2 linked regions of the Arabidopsis thaliana genome follow. The protein of the gene in region 2 interacts with the protein of the main gene of each other region in a pairwise test. Each region holds a gene or a part of one and is shown on either strand. Other genes may lie near its edges.

Region 1 (8,388 bases), on a different chromosome or scaffold from region 2:
CCTCCTCTGTTTCTCCTTACTGCGACCATTGTTTCCGTTTGTTAGCTTCATCGGCGCATCAGAAATGTCAATCTTGCTCTCTCGTCTCCTTTTGTAGCCCTAATTGCTTCGCCTCTCATACTCCTTGGCTCTGCGAATCTCTTCGCCGGCTTCACCAATCATCCTCCTCTGCATTCTCCGATCAACCTTCTGATCGTCAAGTCCAAGCTCGTTTCCTCCTCTCTGCTTACAATCTCGCCGCTGCTTCTCCTTCTGATTTCCAGATTTTGCTCTCTCTCCAAGGTAGTGGCAGCAGCAATGGAGATCCTTCTTGTTCTGCGGGTGATTCTGCAGCTGCTGGGTTTCTTCATTCTCTTTTATCTTCCGTGTGTCCATCTCTTCCGGTGTCTATCTCGCCGGATCTCACGGCGGCTTTACTGTCAAAGGATAAAGTTAACGCCTTTGGTCTGATGGAACCGTGCTCTGTTTCGAATGAGAAAAGATCTGTGCGAGCTTATGGGATTTATCCAAAGACTTCGTTTTTCAATCATGATTGTCTTCCTAATGCTTGTAGATTCGATTATGTTGACTCTGCTTCTGATGGTAATACTGATATCATCATTAGGATGATTCATGATGTTCCTGAAGGTAGAGAAGTTTGTTTAAGCTACTTCCCTGTGAACATGAACTATTCGAGTAGACAAAAGAGATTGCTTGAGGATTACGGTTTTAAGTGTGACTGTGATCGGTGCAAAGTGGAATTTAGTTGGTCTGAAGGTGAGGAAGATGAGAATGAGATTATGGAAGAGATGGAGGATCAAGATGAACAAGAAGAGATGGAAGATTCAGTAGGTGAGAATGAAGAAGAAGTTTGTGGAAATGGTGTGGATGATGAATCTAATTTTCCTCATGCTTACTTTTTTGTGAGATATATGTGTGAGAAGGAGAATTGTTTTGGCACTCTAGCTCCGCTTCCCCCGAAGACTCATGATGCTTCGAGAGTTCTTGAATGTAATGTTTGTGGAAGCGTTAAGGAGGATGAAGTTGGCGTAAATCAATGAGGAAGGTTAGCTTAAAGAATTGATCAGCCGAAAATCTCAAGCTTGTTTGATGCAGCCAGACCCAAACAACAAGAGACTTGTCTTGGACCACATCGTTAATCAATGTTGTTTGTTGTTTGATGTTTACTTTTTTTTTTTTACTCAGTTTTGAAAATTCGATAAGTATTCTAGCTCTAGAATTCCATATCTAGGTTTTTTGTTTTCTCCTAGATAGTCTGAAGAATCAATTGTAATGGTCTGTGGAATTACACGGAAACAGTTTTGTTGTAATAATGGAGCATCAGTTTTCTTTGGTTGAATGAAAAATCATAATTTTTTTGACTTTTTAAGTTGAAAACTGCAGAATTACATGGCTTGATGATGTTTGCATTGTTAATCTCTATTACTCTTCAGTGTGCTCAGTGCCTGAAACCATAGCTTCCTTGATAGGGATCAATGTATTGGTAAACCAAATTGTGTAATAGTTTTTCCATAAAATAGATTCAATAGAACCAGTGTAACAAAAAATTATTAGGGGGCTCTGTTTTAAGGTCGCAACATGACGGTGACACAAACATTTTTTAGTGATTAACTTGTTCTCATTCTGTTCCAAGTTCAACAACACAAACTGAGTTTTTTGGCTTCTCTATCAGAGAACTAATGTGATTCTACAACACAACCTGCTCTGACTGACTTACTCTGCTATGTTCTGTTTTGCTCTGCTCTGTTCTCACTTCCACGTCTCTGTTTTTGTCATTGACATTTCGACTTGTAGGAACTTAAACATTTAGTGGATTGACTGGCAAGATTGATCCAACCTTTTCCAATCTTACATCCATAAATAAGTTGATATTTTTTCTGGTTTTTATTTGGCAAACACTAATGCACCCTAGGGTTCAATGAGATATATATATATTACACTAACACAAGTACACAACCAAATGTTATTGTAGGGACTTGTAATAATTTAACAGACCCAGATTCCTCACAAATTCTACCAAATTTGCGAGTCATTCAAGCTAGCAAACATTATCATCTATAAATAAATAGTTTTCTAAACATAGTAAAGAACATAATTTTAAAATTCGAAACGTTCCTGATAAATTTTCTTCTCACATTCTAAAGAACAAAAGTATAGATCAGCTCCGTCCTCGGGAAGCGTACGAACGAAAGGGAGCTTGCATCGAGAGTTGCACACGCAGCAAAGTGGTCTACAAATAGAGTGGTTGGATACAAATGTTCCTATCCATGTTAACGCTCCTGGCATGGAATATGCGTAAGTATCTATAACGCAGGAAATATGCAATGTGATCCCACACTCATTGCATGTATAGAACCATTTTTCTGGGTTCACAGTTGTTTCGCATGCTTCACACCAATATTTGCCAGCCACGCCCATTTCGCCATAAGATAAGAAGAGAGGATGATCGTCGTACCTATGCCTCATTACCTTTTGCGGTAAAATAGCACACTTGAAGCACAAACCAAATTCACAATCATCGCAACTCAATTTCCCGTCTCCATCACACTCACTACAACGTTTGGAGTGATCTGTAGAGTAGTGTAAAGGATGTTGATGGCTTTTGTGCTCAAATGGTTCTGTAACTGTAGCGCACCGTACATCTATCCTTAATTCCTTAGATTCATAGGAGAAACCGGTGAACAGTTGACGGCAAATACTACACCTATGTAACAAGTAGGTGCCATAATTTGGGGATAGTTCGAGTGGCTGGTTGTGGCACACATGACGTTTCTTTAAAGGAAGCTTGGCACATTTTTCGTGGATTATGAAATCGCATCTCTTTCTCGCGCAAGCGTAGAACGGTTCTGAACAAATCTGGAAGACACATGCGGTACAAACTACACTTTCTGGTAGATTCCAGCCACGGTAAATTCGTAAGTTATGCTTATGGCCGTAATGGTCTATCGTGTTGTCATCAATCACCTTGAATGGCGCAGTTTCCTCTTCTTCGGGTGTCCCTTCCAGTTCGATCATGTCCCATACATCCCTTCTGGTTGCGCATCTTGAATGAACAAAATAATCAAAACATTTGGAGCAAGAATAAGCCCCGTAGAACCCATCCACATTTTTACGACAAACTCTGCATTTCCCGTCTCCATGTCCGAGGCGAGGGGTGTAAGAGATGCGGTGGTCGTGGCGGTTGATGTTTATGACGCGAGGTAGATCGATACATTCCCGATGAATCATGAAATTGCACTGAAGACAGAAATAAGGGCTACGGTCACCTAGCGTCCCACAAGCATTGCAAGTGAAGTCAATGCGTCTTGGAACAAGGTGAAGTTGATGTTCATGGGTCCTCGGGCTTTTAACAAGAACCGGTGGTGGGTTTTTCATACATGATCTGCATATGCTAAAATTACAAACACCACAGTGGTGAAGCTGGCGATGGATTCCATCAAACTCCTCGCGGCAAAGAAGACATTTCTTGTCGGCGTAACCAGGGACTTCATATCTAAGTGACTTGAGTGGGTGTTGGGGGTGAGAAGTGTGGTATGCTTCTGGACTATTATGATCGATACAATCCAGACTGATGAAAAACTCGCATTGATGACATGTGTAGAAATGTTTCCAGCTATTATGTTGATGGCCACACCCTTTGCAATCTCTGAGTGTTTCGTGCGCTTCATGGGAGAGTTGGAGTGGATGCTCGTGTAGGTAGGAGTTTTCAGCAAGAACAAGTAGGGCTGGTCTCCTCGCGCAAATCAAATCCAACTGGAAATCACATTTGTTACAGCGATAACCGACACTGAAAAATTCTCCACAGAAACTACAATTAGAAACTCTGGTATGTAGGAGGATCAGCTTGAGAGGATGGACTGGATGGTAAGGGTGGTCGATTTCTGGTAACGGCTTGGCGCACTCTTCATGGAACACAACATCACATCCCGGCTCATTGCATCGGTGTCCTCCGTAAATGTAACTGCAACCGGGATGTTTGGAAATGAAGCTTGTATTATCTTCATCGGTCGAGTAGCATCCTTTACACTTGGTGAACTCGAAGCGTGTAAAAGGTATCAACGGATGCTCATGAAATGGTAACAATTTTTCAAGGCGGGATGCTTCTTCGTCCATGCCTTCATTAAACAAAGCTAGAAAGTTTTCCATGGTGATGTTTTCTTACTTCCACCAAAACACAAAGCTCTTCTCTTCTGCACTAGTTTCAGACTTGGTTTCTTGTTTTTCTCTCTTTCTTTTCTTTCAGGATTTTTTTTCAAGTGGTTTATCATTTTCAGACTTTGCAAATAGTTAATATGAATTCGCACCACAGAAATGATTCTTTTCATTACTGAGATTGAGACCACATGTGTTGGCTTCATCCTTGCATTATTTAATTAACTCAGACCACATATGTTGACTCTGCAACTATTGTGTCCGGCCAAAACATAAATAATTGAATGAATACAAAAAAGGTTTTTTCTTGCATTAAATGGAATAGAAGTTTATGGATAGAATAGTTTAGAATTTAAATGGATGGAACTGTACATTTTGTGGAAAAAACAGTTTGAAGTCTGAACCACACAACTCCTTGGCCAAGTAGCTTTGGAGGTAGACTTTGCTGCATTCAAGTCTCTGAAACCAAAGTTTTATTATTGTATTGCATCCACTAACTTTTATGTAATTTCAGACCAAAAGATTTGTATTTTTGTCTTTAAGACCAGGATTGGGCCAATCTTTGTTTTTTAATTTTTATACAGCCAAAAGTAAGTTCTATTTCCACCATCAGATTGTATAACCCATTTGAATAACACTATAAAGTTAACATATATATACCATCTGAAACATTCGAAGAATCATTTGTCAAATCACATGTATTCAAATCACTCAGAGCAAATTTTGATTAATAAAGAAGTTAAAAAGACATACTGCGTATACATGAGCTGCTCTTGCTTTAGCACAAAACAGAGACCAGATTCCAGTTCCAGCTCTAATGTCAAGAAACTTGTTCTTTTAAATATCCTGTTAAGAAATTCTGTTTCTAAGATCATTGAGACTGCTGCTGACTGGATTCAAAAGATTGATAATTGTGGAAAAAGCGCATAAGCTTGAGGTTAAAAAAAAACTATTGTAAAACATACTTTTGGAATTAAATGGTACAAAGTTTTTCTTCATTAAAACATGCCTTACCAATCACTACTAGAGTAGTTATTAGAGCGGTTGAAATTATAATAACAGTTTAAAGAACAAATGTATAAAACAACATCGGCTTTGGAAACGACCTTAACAATGGAAGGAAGCTTGCATTGAGAGTTACACACATAGCAAAATGGTCTACACATAGAGGTGTTGGATACCACCAAGTCTTCCTCCCATCCTATTTTGGAACCTGGCATATAATATGAGAAGTCTCCCACAACGCATGAAATATGCAATATGACACCACAATCATTGCATGTATAGAACCATTTCTTCGAATTCACTTTTGTTTCACATGCTTCACACCAGTATTCTCCATCCACACTACTTTCACCACACGACAAGTAAAGAGGATGATCGTCGTATCTATGCCACTTTACTTTCTGCGGTAAAAGAGCACACTTGAAGTCCAAACTATAGTCACACTCATCACAGCTAAAGCTTCCTATATCTAGATCCATGTTTTTGCCACATTCCGTACAAGACTTAGAACTACGTTTCGAAAAGTATAAGGGATGTTGATGGCTTTGGTGCACCAATGGTTCTCGAATTGAACCACATCGTACATCTAGAGTAACCATACGAGTAAGACACTCGTACCTGAAACCGGTGAAACTTTGCCAACAAAGATCACATGAAGTTTCGTCTGAAGTATCATTTGTGACTAGGGTAAATGGTAGGTTGTCGCAAACATGCCGTTTCTTCCGAGGCAGGTTAGCACATTTTTGGTGGAGAATGAAGTCACAATTCTCGCAACTGTAGAACGCATCTGAACAGATCTGGAAGACACATGCTTTACATAGTGTGCTTTCATGGAGAATCCTCCCATCCTTGTTGATTACTAAGTTATGATCATGGCTAAAATGTTTGATCGTGTTATCATCAATCACCTCGAATGGCGCATCTTCCTCTGGCTCTTCGGGTGTCCCTTCTAGCTCTATCATGTCCCATACATCCTCGTCCGTTGCGCATCTCGAGTGAACAACATAGTTAGAACATTTTGAGCAAGAATAACCCCCGTAGAAGCCATCAACCTTTTTACGACAAACCCCGCATGTATTTTGCCCATGTCCAAGACGACGAGTGTAGGAGATGCGATGATCGTGGCGGTTGATGTTTATGACGCGGGGCAAATCGATACACTCCCAATGAATCATGAAGTTGCATTGAAGACAGAAATAAGGGCTTTGATCAGCTTGAGTCCCGCAAGCATTGCAAGTGAAACCGAGAGGTTTTGAAAGAAGATAAAGTTGATGCTCATGGGTGGTCGGGCTTACAACACTAAGCGGCGGTGGGTTTTCCATACAGCCGCCACATATGGTAAAGTTACAAACATCACAGTGGTGAATTCGTCCGTCAAACTTATTCCCGCAAAGAAGACACTTGTTGTCGGCGTAATCGGGTGCTTCTTCACATCTAAGGAGCTTGAGTGGGTGTTGGGGGTGTAAAACGTGGCTAGCTTGTGGAAAAAGTTTGGTACACTCCACATGAAAGCGTAAATCGCATTTATTACATTTGTAATGAACAGCATCGAAAACTCCCCATTTGCATGTTTTGCAAAGTTGCACAAAACCGTCACGGGTTCCATCAGAGAGCTGAATCGGATGCTCGTGGACAGTGGATTCTTCAAGAATAAATTCCAAAGGCAACCTCGTCGCGCAACGAAAATCCAACTTGAAGTCACAAATCGAACAAAGATAACCATTTTCAAACGAAGATGGACACTGGCTACAAGAAGCAAGTGGTTCGACATTTATGAGGAGCTTTAGAGGATGGTCTGGATGAGAATAGTGGTTGATTTCTGGTAACGGGTCGGCACACTCTTTATGAAACACAGATTCACACCCCAACTCATTGCAATGGTAGCCTCCATATATGTAACCAACATACCCACACCCTTTACAAGCCTTGTAGGAAAAACGAGTAAAAGGTAACAGCGGATGGTTATGAATTGGTGGTACCTCTACTTTTTCCATGGTGATCCAAATCAAACCACAGATCTCTTTTGTGATGTTTTTCTTTTCTATTTTTGTTTCTATCGGATCTCTCAAAGTGGGCATATAACGATGAATAATCAAATAATGCATATGATCAAAATTAATGCCATACCACGTGAAATATTGATTATTGTTGCCACTGAGATCCAGCGTCCACGCCATGTGAAACAACTAAAGTCTGACCCAAGGCGATACTTCCAAGGCCTGACTATATCCAATTTTTAAAGTTTGTTATCGATCCTTCTCTACATCTGAATGAACTTGTTTGTAAGCGGTCAAATCAAATTGTAATTAGTTGTGTGATATATACACTATTGTCGTATTTGCTTAGGTTTCTTGAACCAAACGAATATTGTGGTCGAGAGGAACAAGAAACTATCATAGAGGAAGAGACGCACAGTGAGAGAGAAAGAGAGAGATGGTTAATATCTAATTCTGAAACATAAGCAGCAATAATGGAAACAGTAGAGATACAAATGAGATTTGTCCATCTCAGCCTCAAGATGATGAAAGGTACTTGTGGGGGATTTTACATCCTCTGAGAGCTTTTAGCGCATCTTATAGAAGTGGGTCCTTGAGATATTGCAATGTTGGCCGTTCAAAGAATAGCTGAGCTTTATGTCGACGTCTCTGGGATTCTTTTTGTTTTGTGCAATGGTCATGCTTCCTGTGATTGTTTCACCCTCGCATATGGTTAACACATCTTCCAGGTACAGCACAGTTTGTTTCCAATGCGTAGCCCGCGATTTCGGTCCTGCATTGCATGTTGTGACTTGTAATGTGAGTACCAAACATTGACAAACATCAACATATTTCACTCATGTTTAGGGAAGTCGAACCTGTTGAGAAACCCATCTTCTTGTGACACATAGTGAATGACACATCGAAGTAGGCTACAAGGGCATGGATATGGTCATTTCGTTGTGCGACGAGCTTAAACGGAGCTGTGAAGGAAGCATCTCCAGCAGCCATCTTAGAGATATCCATTGTCTTTAGTCAAAAAAAACAAAGGCCAACAACAAAAGGAATATGCATTAGCTACAGAAAATTAGGGAGATGTAATTAACTACTACAGCACAATCTTACTTACCTTCAGCAGCTTGCTATCAGTCACGATTTGGTTACCATCAACGGTGTCAACAAGCGGTTCTGTAATTGCTCTTCTCTTGATGCACGACATGTCAAACCCATACACGTCGTCCCAAACTGTACATGA
Region 2 (7,563 bases):
GAGAGTAGGAGGTACAACTTGACCAGCTTCTTGAAGGATCTTGACAAGCTCTCTCGCAAACTTAGCATTGTCATGTGTGAAGAATGTAAAGGCCATTCCTTTAGCTCCTGCACGCCCGGTTCGACCAATCCTATGGATGTAATCCTCCAATGTATTTGGGAAATCATAATTAACCACACATTTAATGTCCTTCACATCTGTAAAACAAAACAAAAGAAGAAAGAAGGAACACAGTTGAGAAGTAAATCATAGACTGAGATGAAATGCAGGAAGAAGAACAGAAATTTCTTTGTGTAAATGAGTTTGGTGTTTAAAGCCTAGCTAAGGAGAGGATAGAGAACAAGAACCCCTTATCCCTACAACTGCAGATCTGGAAAGATCAAGAAACTAAGAGCAACACATTTTTCCCAAGTAAATGTGCCCACCTTAACTTGCAGGGATAAGGAGTGTTTGGGACGGCGTTATAACACTATTAATGCATGCAGGTGTCAGTCGCCCAGGCTGCTCAAAAACCAATCAGCTCCATGCCCGGGAGATGGATGCAGGAAACAAATTCTTCAAAGAAGCTCCTTTTTTCTTTCTATGTGCTTTTTTCCCTAATACCAGAGGAAACTGTGGAAAGCGGCAGCCAGGCGACTTTTTTTATTATCTTTAAAACCCCAAGAAAACGAAATGCTCTAAGTATAATCTCTCCTATTGTGTATCACAGTTAATCCTACCAAGTCCCCTTGCTGCTACATCAGTGGCAGTCATTATCGGGCTTCGTCCACTCTTAAATTCTGCCAAGACTCGGTCTCTTTCCGATTGGGTCTTGTCACCATGTATGGCAAGAGCTGGCCATCCGTCCATTCTCAATTGTCTAGTCACTTGATCACACCCTCTCTTTGTCTCCACAAAAATTAGGATTTTACTCCCATCCATTAACTGTTTAAGTAGTGTAAGGAGCCTATCAAACGAGAAAAAAGGCATAAGTATCATATCATATAAGAAGGCAAATAAATATATATATAAATCGTTTCTTATCTAATGACAGAAAAATTAAGAACCTGTTGTATTTCTCTGGCGTCGGTACAATCTCGATTACTTGGTTAATAGACTGGTTAGCTTTTAGATCTGTTGATCCAATAATGGCCTACAAAATAACAACTGTTTTCAGTGCACAACATAAAACATCCCCTACTTTATTCAACAACAGTATACTCAATCCTAATAAGTTAAACTAAATAGCAAGTAAACCTTATATGGATCTCGTAGAAACTGCCTGGCAAGAGTTTCAACCTCTCGTGGCCATGTTGCACTCCAAAGAAGTGTTTGTCTATCAGGTCGGATCTGTGAAAAATAAGGAACAATCTCAAGTTCTGAACAAAAGCCGTGATGGTTCTTATTTAGCAACAGAACAATAAACTGGGAAGATAAAATCTATCGACTAATAATGTTGGTCAACCACCCTTTCCTTAAAGACACTACATGATAGCTTTGGAGAAAGTACAAACATACCTGAGATACAATCTTTCTAATTTGGGGTTCAAATCCCATGTCTAACATTCTGTCAGCCTCATCCAGTACAAGGTAAGTCACTCTCTTCAAATTAGTGTGTTGACATTCCAACATATCAATCAAACGACCAGGTGTAGCAATTACAATCTCAACACCTGACAAGCCAATCATGATTCATAAACTTTGATGTTCCATCCAAGAACCAGACATGAAAACTACACTATTAAAAAATAAAATACCTCTTCTAAGATCACGAATCTGAGGTCCTTTAGGAGCACCACCATAGATACAAGTACTTCTAACACCAGACCTCAACCCGAATTTCCTTGATTCCTCTTGAATCTGAACAGCTAGTTCTCTTGTGGGAGCTAATATTAACACAATGGGGCCATCATCCTGACCTATATTACACCCCAACAATGCAAATAAAAAAGTTGCCGGAAAAATGAATGCAGCTTAAATCAGAATATCACATAGTGCTGTAATACTCACCTAATCGAGGTTGTGCACTAACGTGAACCAATGCTGGTAACAAGTAAGCCAATGTCTTACCAGAGCCAGTCTCAGCAATACCAATCAAATCCCTACCCTTCAACGCCATCGGCCATCCCTGAGCTTGTATAGGTGTTGGCTCAGTAAATCCCAATTTAGCAATTGCTTCAAGAATGTTATCTAACAGATAAAAGGAACCATTAAACTAAGAACCCAAATTAGATATAAATGAACTGGAAACTCTATGACCAATCCAATCAAAATACCTGGAAAGTTAGCATCTTGGAACATCTTCATCGGCTTAGGAACATCACGACCTTCAACGGATATATCCCTCTCGGTTCTGTACATTGCAACATCCTGCTCTGTCATAGCTTGCACAGTGGGACTCTCCACATAGAAATTCTTCTCAAAATGTACAAGATTCCCAAAATTCTGCTTCGGAAGAGAAACACTATCTAGCTCTCTTTTACTCGATCCGCCACGTCCTCCTCCTCCTCCCCAATTCCCTCCGCCGTTTCTATCGCCGTATTGACCATATCCACCTCTTCCACCACCGCGGCCAACAGAGAAACCGCCACTAGGTGGCTGGAAAGATGGGTACCGATTATAGCCGGAATTATCACCGGCCATTACCGGAGATGGTCCATATCCTCCACCACCACCAGTGTACCGTGGGTTGTATGGTGCGGCGGAAGGATCCATCGGCTGAGACGAACCAACTGGGGCGCTAAAGTAACACAGAGAAGATAAGTGTTACAGATCGAAGGAAACAAAAACGAAGAAATTGGTCGATTGGTTTCACTTACCCAGAGCGTTGGCGATACGAATTTGGATCAGCAAATCTACGATCATACGAGCTCATTGTAACTTAAGATGGTTATGGTTTTTGATCTCTCGCTCTCTCGCGTAAATTCTACTACGTAACCTTGGAAACGAATTGATGCTACAGAAGGAAGATAGTGCAAGGAAGACGACGAAAAGCCGCAAAAGGAACAAAAAGCTTAGATTTTTTTTTTGATTCGTTTTGGACAGTAAAATTCCCAAATTAGTAACCCTAATTTGTCCCACCATTTTTCTGTTCTTTTTATTGCGCGAATTTAATTAATTTCCTTTATTTTGTTGGTAATCAGATATGGGCCATGACTAACCACTTAATGGGCTACAAATTGGACCCAAACAATTGTTTAACTTAAATTATTGGAGGTTTTGTGATGGGGGAGTCTATTGCTTTAAACATTTTGCCAACAGTGTCGAATCAAATTTGGAAAATCTTAAAGTTGCGATGGGATTTTTCAGACATACCATCTCATGAGTCATGTGACTACACCAATCCTAGTCATAATACATATTTTCTGGAATAATACCATATACTGTATGTTATTTTCTAACTAGTGAAAAAGTATACATTTGACTTGACCCATAATGCACAGTATTTATAAAATCGAATCATTAACATTACATGGCCATAAGGTCATACTTGACATATTTATAATTTCAAACATAATAATGTTCTTGCAGCAAAAAAAATAATAAAAAAACAAAATCATGTTCAGAGCAATCAGTAAAATTGATGGTAATTAACAATAACATTAACATGGAAGAGACTGCCAAGAGGAAGGTACAAATCAGATTCAGCATTCAATATTTGATTAAAATTTTATGACTAGTTTTCTTTGATGACCAAACGTCTATAATGATGAGCGACTTTTAAGAAAGAAGATTTCTTCAAAATGGAATCAATTAAACAAAAGAATATTCCATTGTTGGAAATAACAGAATTGTCCAAAATGCCCATAGAAGATCCAAGGAATTTTCTATTTGCCCATACGCGTAATATCCCACCATGACATCACTCCTTCCCTATAAAACCCATCCATCTGCAACCTTTCTTCTTGGTTTAAGACACCAAAAACAAACACTCAATTATAAAAAGCTTCCCTCTTCTCTCCCAAATCTTCAAAAATTCAAAAAAAACTAACAATGGTAGCCGTTGATTATACCGAGAAGAACAGTGGAAGCAGTCTCAAGTTTCTATGCAGTTACGGTGGCAGAATCCTCCCTCGCTCCACCGACGGCAAGCTCCGTTACGTCGGAGGTCACACCAGAGTCCTCTCCGTTGATCGTTCTATCTCTTTCTCAGGTTCGTCTCCACTTCAATTTCGTATTGAAATCGATTCTATTTCCGATTTCGCCGAATCTGAGATTGATTTTTTAATTTTGTTTCTCCAGAGCTGATGAAGAAACTCTATGAATTCTGTGGATACTCCGTTGATTTACGATGTCAATTACCAAACGGAGATCTCGAGACTCTAATCTCCGTCAAATCAGAAGAAGAACTAGCGGAGATCGTTGAAGAGTACGATCGCATCTGCGGAGCCAAGATCCGTGCCGTTCTATCACCTCCGAGATCTTCGCATAAGACCGAATCTTCGCCGTCTTCAAGCGGTGATCGATCTCCAAAATCGCCGTTCTCCGTCACGCCTTCACCGCCAAATTCTCCGTCGCCGGCGTATGGAAGATATCTACAATCTCGGTATTGTTTACCTTCCACGGATCTTCCTCCGAGAAGATACATTCAGAGAGCGGAAGAATCGCATTGCTGCTATGCGTGTCGTGTACACAAAGACTCTAGGCTCGTTTGGCATTGACGGAGATTGGGGAAATAATCGAATATACGCCATAGATACGAATACCATGATAATGACGAAGAAGACGCAATTAAAGGATTTAATTTAGGGTTTTTAGAAATTTTTACGATGTGTTGATTTTTTGTGAAGAGAAGAATTAAAATTTTCCTATACAATTACCGGTCGGAGACGTAACCGACGGAGAAATTAATTTAGACGGAGTATATACCGGGACGTTAGTGGCCGTTACTAACCGTTAGAGTCGCCGTTACGACGTGTTTACACGTACGACGTTTGTTTTTTTGTTAAACGTGATACGTGGCGAATAGTGAGATCATCTCGTGTAAATATCGGAGATGTGAACACGTGTGTTGTCCGTGGATTAGTTACGTCACACGTGTCAACCTTTCGTCTTCTGGAGTTTGTTTTTCTTAACGAGGTTCTTTTTTATTTTACTTGTTTGATAAGTAATTTTTTAATTGTTTTCTCAACTTTATAATATTCGATTTTTTTTGTCTGTCTCATCAGGATTAGAGAAGGACATGAGATTACTCACAGTCTCACACGGAGTTCCTTTGTTTATTCGATTCAAAATTTTGCCCGACTTGAGAAAAGGACCATCAAATATATTAATTAATCAGAAAACTATTGGAAAAAGAAATGTTAGTCGGCGTATTTTAGTTGACTTCCTAAATATTCGCAACTTGTGAATGGGACAGATGGAGGAGTGGAGAACTAAAGAATGAATAAGTTGGTGAGCAAATTGTCCCATCTTAACTTGAAAACTTGGAACTCCACAAAAAATATTTGAAGTTGTTCATTGATTATTTCGAATCAAATTTTGAAGTAACAGTACCACATATTTCTTGTTTTTCAGCATTATTTGTTGAAATATCAACCAACCAGCACACGAAATTGGGCTTTCTTAGCATTTTTATACATATTTAAAGTCAGAAACGAATCTCAAATTATTAATTCATACAACCAATCATGTTCTTGTTTTTTATGCTTTTGGCCAAATAAAATTTATTCACGTAAAACCCAACTACATATGTTTTCGTTTAAATTTGTATTATTTCTGGTCAAATATCTTACCCGTAGTTGGCATGTACAGGCCGGTCTAAATTTTGAAAAATGTCATCATCATCAAATCACTACAATCTATAAACCATAAAATTCAATGTCAATACACTAACACAATTAACACCATGAGATTGAGACAATTAACTACGAATAATCCACTGACTAACCTTAGGGCCAAAAGTGAACATTTCAGTCGTTCCTAAGAAAAGAAAAAAACCTGGTTTACAAAGTCAGAATCACAGTCGTTTTATCACAAGAAGATTTAGATAAGGGTCCTCAAGTTTCAAGCCAATGCCATCAATAACCCTTGTGTATTTTCGGCCTCAAGATTATTTATCCGGTTTCTTGCTCAAACTCTTCACCATCTGATTCCTCTGCATTATCTGCATCATCATCCTCTGCTTCATTATCATCCTCTTCTTGTTCGTTGTTGACGACTGGTTTTCCAATTACCGGTAAAGCAGGACTCATCTTTCTGATCTCGTTGCACTGCACCAAACCCAAGACAACAAGAATTTACTTAGAACTTGTCTTAAAACATTCATAACAACAACACTGAAACTGACAATTAGCTCTACTGATCTCTCTCACTTTTGAGCTCCCACGTCTATATAATCACACAATCTAATATATTTAAGAAGAACATATAATTAGAGGTAACACCAACACATCACACGACAAGGAGACATGTTGTCTAAAGTTCACAATGGCTAAATTCCAAATCTGCAAATTTTGTCTTTGCTTCTTTCCTTTCACTTGCTAGTGATTCAGGAAACGGAACTAGTTTTCAAACATTGGAAAACATGTAACAATAAACTCAAATCCTTTTCCATACTAAATCTAGAAACCAAAAATCTCTCCAATTTAAACTCGAAGATCACCCTTGGATCTTTATACATTATTACGGGTCTAAAGCTATAAGATGATAGTCCAATGAACACAAATGCATATATCCATAGAGTCTACACTGGAAAAACCACTACACTAGAATCACAACTCGACATTGGTATCCACTAAAATTCTCACTTTTGTACTAACTTAAAACTCAAACATAGGACCCAAAAGAATATGTTCCAAAGCAGAAAGATTCAGAAACTCATATTCATCTTATCAATATGAAGTAGAGAAGAAAGTGATCTGCCTAAAACCAAAATCATCACCACGGATCGAAAAAGATTGATCATTTACAAAGTAGAAACCACTTATAATCTCGAACACAATCAATAAATTTCACTCATAATCAGCTCAACTTACATGAAACTAAAGATCTAAGATTGACCTTTTATGCTGCCTGTAGTGACAGTCGAAAACTGAAAATTTCCTATTCAGCAGATTCCGAAGGAGAACGAATACATAAATAAAAAAGAAGGAAGCTACCTTTTCTTCGAACTCAGCTTCTTCCATGGCGAGAAGAATCTCCTCGTTCTGCGGCTGAGGCCATTGTAACGGAAGCAAATACGATGCCGGAATCGTCTTCGTCGACGACGGAAATTGGGTCATCAACGTCGGAAACTGTAACATTCTTCTTCTCTTCCTTTTTCTCTCTTAACGAAAATTGATGGAAAAGTAAATAAAGACCAAAAACACAGTGCATTTATTATTGGGCTTTTATCTGTTTAGCCCATTGTTATTGGGTAAAGATAAATATAATTTTGACTATGAGTAGGGACTAAATGTTAAATTTGGGCTTGTAAAATTACAAAAGCATAATTTGAAACCCATTGGGCCACTCCCTACCTTCCGCGCGTGACTTAAATTTGAAACTAACTAACAACGTCTTAAAAATTAAAACTCTAATAACAAAAACGTAAATAGGCATCTGATCTTTTGATTGGTGATGGAATAGTAACATTCCAAATAT

The links. The genes of interacting proteins can lie anywhere in the genome.
Region 1: the proteins of AT5G63130 (region 2) and AT2G19650 interact in a two-hybrid assay, tested with the Arabidopsis thaliana proteins (one large-scale study listed by BioGRID).

The regions. Positions count from the first base shown.
Region 1 is NC_003071.7:8,491,558-8,499,945, forward strand, and holds AT2G19650 (Cysteine/Histidine-rich C1 domain family protein), read right to left. Parts: upstream 4,336-8,388; 5' UTR 4,147-4,335; coding exon 2,098-4,146; 3' UTR 1,912-2,097; downstream 1-1,911. Other genes in the region: ASHR2 (ASH1-related protein 2), read left to right, coding at 1-1,040; AT2G19660 (Cysteine/Histidine-rich C1 domain family protein), read right to left, coding at 5,163-7,235; PRMT1A (protein arginine methyltransferase 1A), read right to left, coding at 7,721-7,926, 8,012-8,162, 8,263-8,378.
Region 2 is NC_003076.8:25,319,218-25,326,780, forward strand, and holds AT5G63130 (Octicosapeptide/Phox/Bem1p family protein), read left to right. Parts: upstream 1-3,757; 5' UTR 3,758-3,972; coding exon 3,973-4,132; intron 4,133-4,221; coding exon 4,222-4,640; 3' UTR 4,641-5,522; downstream 5,523-7,563. Other genes in the region: AT5G63120 (P-loop containing nucleoside triphosphate hydrolases superfamily protein), read right to left, coding at 1-197, 720-946, 1,047-1,132, 1,237-1,329, 1,498-1,652, 1,737-1,898, 1,990-2,169, 2,256-2,719 and 1 more; AT5G63135 (transcription termination factor), read right to left, coding at 6,036-6,191, 7,080-7,223.